2 linked regions of the Struthio camelus genome follow. The protein of the gene in region 2 interacts with the protein of the main gene of each other region in a pairwise test. Links are inferred from orthologs where the notes say so. Each region holds a gene or a part of one and is shown on either strand. Other genes may lie near its edges.

Region 1 (3,898 bases), on a different chromosome or scaffold from region 2:
AGCTCGGGGCCAGGGAGAGGGTGTCCCTTGGGTCTCTCCTGCACCTATTTCACCTTGAGCTGGATGCTCACAAGAGAAAGGCCCTGAGGTCCTGGGCAAGGGCTCCTGAGCACGACAGCCGTGCGCAAGGAGAACCGGCTGCTCAAGGGCCAAACTCCCATTAACTGAAATAGGGCAAGAGGCGCCTGACCCCCGTCTGTAGATGTGCCCCAGCCCCTTGGCCCAAAGGCAGCAGCAACCCGCGACGGGACCGGCCGCCCCCATCAGCGTGGCTCTGCCCCGTGCCCTTTCCGCCCCGCCTGCATCGCAATCCCGGGGCGGCAGGAGGAGGCTGACGGTGGGCGCGACGCGGGGGCCGGGCCAGAGCCGGGTGCCCAGTGGACCAGGGGCCGTTATATCCCACTGCCTCAGCTGTTTCCCGCGGGCGCCGAGCCCGCCGGGAACGGCCCCGCTGCAACAAGAGCCCGAAGCAGAGGAAAGGTTAGGGGCGGGCGGGCAGCTGACGGCGCGCACCAGCTGCTATTTTATCCAGTCCTCCCCCCTCCACCCCCCGGCCAGTGCTCAGCCCTCGCGGGCACGTGCTCCCGCAGCCCGGCAGGATGGGTGCTGGCCCCCGGCGGGCGGTTGGGCTGGGCGAGCTCAGGGACAGGCACTGGGGCCTGGCAGGGAATGACGGGGCCGCGCAGCCGGGGCACCCTGCCTGCCGGCGTCCCACCGTGCCCGGGGTGCTGCCACGGGGCTAAGTCCAGGCGGAGAGGCTTCGGTTGCCGGTGGAGCAGCCGTTCTGCCTAATCAGCTTCTTCTCGTCCTAAAGGTGTTAAAGAGTAACAGCCGAGAAGGGGCATCGCCGTCCTCACTGCCGCCATCTCCTCCCCGACCCCAAAGTGCGGGGAGGTGCGAGGAGGCTGGGACTGACCCCCCCAAAAGCTCTTGTCCCCTGAGCCCCAGGGTCCCCACGAGCCAAGCTCACAGGGAGGCACGTTGGAGGTCCCCTGTGCCAAAGGGCCTCCTGGCCCTGCCACCCCTCTGCTCTGCCACTTCCCCTGGTGCATACCAGGGATTTTTGTCGTCCAAATCGGCGTTGGCGAGAGATGCTGAGGAGCCGCGTGGGCTCCAGGGTACCAGGGGCAGAAGGAGGCAGCACACGCTGAGTGCACGTTTGGGCTGCGCTCAGCAAAGCCACGCTCACGCCGCCGCTCCGCCGCGGGCGCGGGCCGCCTGGCGCATCCCGCGGGCGCGAAGGCAAGCGGGGCAGAGGCGCTGGGAAAGGCAGAGGCGGAGGAAGGGGTTACGGGCGCTGGCGGACGCGCACCTCCCAGGGCAGGGCCGTACGGGCCGGCGCCACGGCAGCCCCTCGCGCCCCGACCGACCGTCGCACCAAGCGGCCCCAGCGCTGCGTGCCCCGCCGTCGCCACGCGCGTGTCCCCCGCAGGGTGGGATCGCGCGTGTCCTTGCACACGCACGCGCGCGCGCGGAGCAGAGCGGAGAGTCGCGCGGGCGCCGGCGCGGGTGGCACCGGCCCGCGGGGCAGGGCGCGGCAGCCAGCGGGGCCGGGGCCGGGGCCGGGGCCGGGGCCGGGGCCGGGGCCGGGGCCGGGGCCGGCAGCGCCCGCCGGAGCCGCCCGCCGCAATCATGTGACGGCGCCGCTATTTAAGGCGGCTGCGGAGCCGGCAGCAGCCCTGTGGCTCGGCGGCGCCGTCCCCGCCTCGCAAGCCCGCTCGCCTTCACCATGGTCGAAGCCTTCGTCGGCACCTGGAAGCTGGTGGACTCGGCTAATTTCGATGAGTACATGAAGGCGCTGGGTGAGCGCGGGCGGCGGCGGCGGCGGGGGGAGCCGGGGGCGGCGGCCGCCCCTGCGCCGGGCGCGCTGAAGCCGTGAGATCGCTCCGCTCTCTTTCTCTTTCTTTCTTCATTTCCCCCCCCTTTGTATTTCACCTCCCGAGTAGCCAGGACCGCACAAAGGGCTTTTAGCGCTGCGGCGCCTGCAAGTGAGGAGGAGGATGGCTGTCTGCCTTTTTAATGGGTGTAAAGAAGGGGGGGGGGAATGCTGTTTTGACAGGGCTGGGTTTGCGGCGGGCAGGGGCGATGCGGGGGAGCCGGGGCTTGCGGCGAGCCGGGCGCTGGCGCTCCGCATGGGTGTGCGGTGTCCCCGCGGCCCCGCCCGGCGCCCCGCGGTGCTGCGGCCGGGAAACGGGGCTCGGCTTTTGCCAGGGGGCAACACGGGTGGGGACAGGGTGGGAGGGAATCTCGGCCATCTCTGGTGATGAGGATGATCCTCGCTGCCGGGCACTTGTTTGAAGCCGGGTGAGGTCCCTGGTCCTGGGAAAGCAGGCGAGGGGCAGGAGATGGCTGCCTTGCCCGGGAAGGAGTGTGCCCACTGCCTGGCTCCCTGCCCTCGGGAGGGACATGCATCTCCAGCTCTTCCCAGAAGCCAGTGGGTGGGGACAGCCTTCCCCCCCCCCCCCCCATTTCAGGGCCAAGGATGATAGGGTGGAGGGAGAGGACTGCAGAGCTGCTCACTGCAGAGTGAGTGAATGCAGTGCCTCTGCTCTCCTCCATCCTTCATCCCTCCTTCTCACCCCACATCATCCAGCCTGGTCCCTGGCACCGGCTGTGGCTCCTTCTGAGTGGCCCCAGGGTACTACAGAGGCCAGGGGACACTACCTGTCTTGGATCCTGCTCAGCCCCAAAAGCTGGTCTGTGGCTGGAGAATGGTGTTTCTGGGTGCAGGATCTGGCCCTGAGTGATCCCAGCTGCACATCCAGCTGCCCTCCAGCCCCCACGGCAGCCAGCAAGACACGGGGAGGCTGCAGGGAGGAAGGAAGGTCTGGGGGCTGCTGAAGGGCAGGGACGATGATGGGGATGCACCCTCTCTAGCCCCTCCGCGTGGCCTCACCGCTCCCTTGCACCCTGCAGGTGTGGGCTTTGCCACGAGGCAGGTGGCGGGCCTCACCAAACCCACCACCATCATCGAAGTGAGCGGCGACAAGATCACCCTGAAGACCCAGAGCACCTTCAAAAACACAGAGATCAGCTTCAAGCTGGGCGAGGAGTTTGATGAGACCACTGCTGATGACAGGCACGTCAAGGTGAGCCCAGCCATGGGGCCAGGAGCCCAGCAGAGACCCAGGGGGCAGCTGGGGTGCTGAACATTGGTGCTTGGAGAAGCTCTCTGGGGTCCCTCAGAGAGCATCTGCCCTCTGCCAAACCCTTTTATCAGGCCATGGCCACATTCCTGCAGTTCAAGGCTTGAATCCTTGAGTTCTGGGTCTGTCTCCTTCTCTCCATCCTCTTCTGTTAAAAATCTCCTTGCCCTCAGGGCCTGCTGCTCTGCCCTAGCCTCTCTTGGCAAATCACCCCTTCCCCCATGCCGATTTGCAGCCAGGCTTTGCAGAAAAGCTGTTACGAGGCATTGGAGTTACTGTAACAGCCCCGGGGCTCTACCAGCCCGGGAAGTTGGGCCGCCCGGGCACAGAGCTGCTGGGTAGGTTGTGCAAGAGCGAAAACATGCAACCGCCCACTGCCTGGCCCACGACGGACTTGCTCAAGAGAAACAGGGGATGTGGTGGAGCGAAGGTGAACTTTGTGCCATTTTTAATGGTTTCCAAGGCATCCTTGCAGGGATGCAAGAATTGCTTTTGAGCCTGGTGCTTGTCCTAGAAACACATTTTGGGCCCCTTTGGCTGGGCAGAGCTGTCCTCTCTGTACATGGTGAGCGAAGAGGGATGGAACGGCTTGGACACATCACTTGGCCAATTCCCCTTTAATTCAGGGAAGAGGTTCGGGGGGAGAAAACCTCTTCAGGAAAGACTTGAGCTTCTGTGCGGTGGCTCTCCAAGTCCTCCTCTTCCTTGGTTATTTGCTGGTGGCAAAGAGCCAAGTTGGGCTATCCCTCCCA
Region 2 (3,898 bases):
ACCGTAGCAAGCCACCAGGGCAAAGCAAACCGGATGGGGAGCGCAGATGGTTTCTCTGACCGGTGGCTTGCGTTTTCCCTCCTACCCTGTAATTAATATCCAAACCTGTGCTCCGAGGCCCTGTCCCGGCTTCCCCTCGTCCCGGCTCCTCATGCCCTCTCCTGCGTTTCCCCCCACGAAGCGCCCACCCGAAGCGCCTGCCTCTCCGCGCCCGCGCTGCCCGCGGCTCCCCACCGGCCCCCCGCACCCCGCCGGGGGAGGCCCCGAGCCTCGGGCCGGCTGGCAGGGGTGCAAACGGGAGCCACAAAACCGGTCGCCAACCCCGTGCGTCCGTGGTGGTGGTGGTGGTGGTGGTGGAGGGGGGGGTGTTGTGTGTGTGTGTGTGCGCTGCCAGCTGCGCGGCAGCGGTGTGCCCGCCCGCCGGTGCTGGGCGGTCAGCGCGTGTCAGCCGGGGGGGGCCCGCCAGTCAGCCAGCCGGGGGGGGGCCGCCAGTCAGTCAGCCGGGGGGGGGCCCGCCAGTCAGCCAGCCGGGGGGGGGGCCCGCCAGTCAGCCAGCCGGGGGGGGGGCCCGCCAGTCAGCCAGCCGGGGGGGGGGGCCCGCCAGTCAGCCAGCCGGGGGGGGGCCGCCAGTCAGTCAGCCGGGGGGGGGGGGGCCCGCCAGTCAGCCAGCCGGGGGGGGCCCGCCAGTCAGCCAGCCGGGGGGGGGCCCACCAGTCAGCCAGCCGGGGGGGCCCGCCAGTCAGCCAGCCGGGGGGGGGGCCCGCCAGTCAGTCAGCCGGGGGGGGGGCCCGCCGGTCAGCCAGCCGGGGGGGGGCCCGCCAGTCAGCCAGCCAGGGGGGGGGGCCCGCCAGTCAGTCAGCCGGGGGGGGGGCCCGCCGGTCAGTCAGCCGGGGGGGGGGCCCGCCGGTCAGCCAGCCGGGGGGGGGCCCGCCAGTCAGCCAGCCGGGGGGGGGGGCCCGCCAGTCAGTCAGCCGGGGGGGGGGCCCGCCGGTCAGTCAGCCGGGGGGGGGGGCCGCCAGTCAGCCAGCCGGGGGGGGGCCCGCCAGTCAGCCAGCCGGGGGGGGGGGCCCGCCAGTCAGTCAGCCGGGGGGGGGGCCCGCCAGTCAGTCAGCCGGGGGGGGGGCCGCCAGTCAGCCAGCCGGGGGGGGCCCGCCAGGCGGAGGGCGCCGCCGTGCCCCGCACCCTCGCACATGCTCACTGGGGCGCCGCGGGAGTCTGGGCATGTGCAGAGCGGGCAGGGCCGCTCCCGCCCCCCCCGGGGCTCCGTGCGCCGCCGCCCGCCCGCCCGCTCCCAGGTGAAGCCGCGCTAGGTGGGGCGGAGCGGGGCAGCCGGTCGCCGGCGGCGGCGGCAGGATGAACAGCTCCGACGAGGAGAAGCAGCTGGAGCTCCTCACCAGCCTCAAGGACCAGGGTACGGCAGGCAGCGCCGGGCGGGCGCCGCCCTGTAGCTGCTGCTGCTGCTGCCGCCGCGGCGGCGGGGCCGGCGGGACCGCGGCGGGGCGGGGCGGCGTGAGGCGAGGGCTGCGCGGGCGGCGGAGAGCGGCGCGGGCGGGCGCGGCAGGGCCGCGGCGCTCGGCAGGGCCGCGGGCAGCGCGGGGGCCGCGGCTGCCGAGGCCCGGCCGCCTCCCGGTCCGGCCCCGCCGTCGGGTGTTGCCTCGTTTCCAGGTCCCTGTCTCTGTGCGGGCGGGGCAGGACCCCCCCCCCCCTTTTATTTTATTTTTTTTTGTTTAATTATTTAAAAAAAAAAAAAGGAGTTGAAACGTTTTGGCTCTTCCCCTTGTCGGTGCTCGTTCCTGGGCAGCTCCCCGCACCTGCTCTGCTTCTCTGCTGCTGCAGCTAGGTCGGCGCTGGCGTCGAGGTGACCGCGCGTGAATTTGGGCCGATGGGATGGCCGGGTGTTGCAGCGGGTGAGCTGTGAGCGCTGGTAGCCCAGGTGCCGCTCCCTCGAGCGCAGGCTAGCCTTTGCGCTGGGAAAAGGTGTGTGACTAACCCGTGGTGTTAATCCTGCTGTCAGTGAACGGGAGCGGATAGTGGTGAACCTGGATACCCGTCCTCTGTGCGCCTCTTAGGCACACGGTCTTGAGCAGAAACGCTGGCCAGCTCCGAGAGGTAAAAGTCCATCTGTCTAGTGGTCTTCCCGTGGAAGGCAAATTTTATATGAAGTTCCTTATTGTTTCTGAGCTAACTTCACCTCCGTTTTCCTATTGTGTGTTGTTAGATGTGATATCACCTACCCGTTAAATCCTCTCTATTCCGCTCCTTGTGGGTGTGCAGACTTCCCAGCAAGAGGTCAGGGTTAGCCCCGATATGCCATAGGCTTCTGCGGAGTCTGTGTAACTTCCAGTTAAATGAAATAAAGCATTTTGATTTGGTTCCGCTTCTGAGTCTGTATCTGGGGCTTTTGTAGAAAAGTCCAATGCTTCTACTTCATAGGTGTTCAGCTCCTTTAGAAAACTTAAAACAACGTAATGTTTCATGTTCTGCGAGAAGGGACTTGAGAAAGGGCTTGGATGTTCCAAAAGGTACCCTGCTTTTCTAACGCTACTGGTCAGGGTATTCCCAAGCCAGGCTGGTCTAACAAAGTTGCTACATTCATTCCTTGTCTAGTAAAGAGGTAGACGACATTCAAAGGGCCAGCATGTTACCAGCTATTTGAGTTGTAGGCACGTATCTGTAGATGTGTGCCAGCATACCTCCTGTCTCACAGCTTCATACGCGGTAGGCACGAAATACCGGCCCTGTGTGGCTGATGCTACAGCTCCCACAGCGGTGTGCCTGTGGTCCTTGTGGAACCTGGGAAGGGCTCTGTTTTGAAAGGGTGCAAACTTTTAATGGGGAGATCGAAATTACTGGCGTGTGGTGGTGGATCAATACCCCTTTTCTGTGGTTCATTCTGACTATAAACTCATTCAGTCGTCTTTGCTGTGCAGCAGGAGCTTTCCTTAACCAATAGTTGAATACTTATGATCGCCTGTCTTGGCACTTCTTTCTTCTTTGTTCCTGGCACATTCAGCAGTGTGATTTCGTGATTATCTGCTGCCCCTGCTAGATTCTGACTTTTAATGATTGCGGTCAGTGTAAAACTTACCATGATCGCATAGCTGTGTGCTTCGATAACGCAGGACCAAAAAATGAGGCTAAAAATCTAGTTTTGCTGATAGGCCTGACTACTTGCCACTGGTACTGTTGGCTCCAAAAGAGTGGTTTGTGCCAAAATGACAGTTGCTGAAGTGTCAACAAGCAGTTGCTAAAATGGAAAGTTTGGATTACTTTTCACAGAAATCCTAGCCTCCTTCAAACTGGTTGGAAGTTTTTTATTGTCTTCAGTAGGACTAAGGTTTCAGTTTTGATATCTGGAAGTCTTCTGTCCAAATAGTCATAGTATCCTTTAATGTCTAATGAAGTTTATGACACGCTAGGAATTAGTTCAAGGAAAAGATACTGTAACTCAAGTACCAGCTGTCCTAGATCCACTTAAGCTGTTGAAATAGAAACTGTAACAGGCAGATTGTGTCCTGTAAAGCTTTGTTCTTGATACGTTTTTGCCCTAAATGTAGACGTTTTTAGTATGCTGTTACGAGACCACCCAATGTTTTCATAATTTTATGGCCTGCTAGAAGGTTGATTTTTATGATGAAAAAATTATCGCGTGAAAAACTTTTGAAAATACTTACTCCTCTGTGTTCTGTTTTTGCATCTGAAATAATGCAGTATTATGGTAGGACACTATAGTTAAATTATGCTAACTGACAAGTCCCAAGTCCGTGAACTGTCCAGAATAAAAAGCCTAAGTGATGAAAAGGTAATGAGATGCTTAAAGTTATCCTAACAAGAATGATCTAAATATTGTTACGACAGTTAGGTAAGTTTACTTCCTTTTTACGTATTTTAAGCTTGA

The links.
Region 1: the proteins of SHTN1 (region 2) and FABP3 interact in binary tests that used the Homo sapiens proteins (3 or more experiments, as listed by UniProt). The two-hybrid records come from large-scale screens. The link is inferred for Struthio camelus from reciprocal best matches to the Homo sapiens genes SHTN1 and FABP3.

Annotation. Positions count from the first base shown.
Region 1 is NC_090964.1:4,624,130-4,628,027, forward strand, and holds the start of FABP3 (fatty acid-binding protein, heart), read left to right. Parts: upstream 1-1,593; 5' UTR 1,594-1,729; coding exon 1,730-1,802; intron 1,803-2,916; coding exon 2,917-3,089; intron 3,090-3,898. UniProt on the Homo sapiens protein: FABPs are thought to play a role in the intracellular transport of long-chain fatty acids and their acyl-CoA esters.
Region 2 is NC_090948.1:8,623,228-8,627,125, forward strand, and holds the start of SHTN1 (shootin-1), read left to right. Parts: upstream 1-1,207; 5' UTR 1,208-1,353; coding exon 1,354-1,411; intron 1,412-1,866; exon of another isoform or gene 1,867-2,109; intron 2,110-3,898. UniProt on the Homo sapiens protein: Involved in the generation of internal asymmetric signals required for neuronal polarization and neurite outgrowth.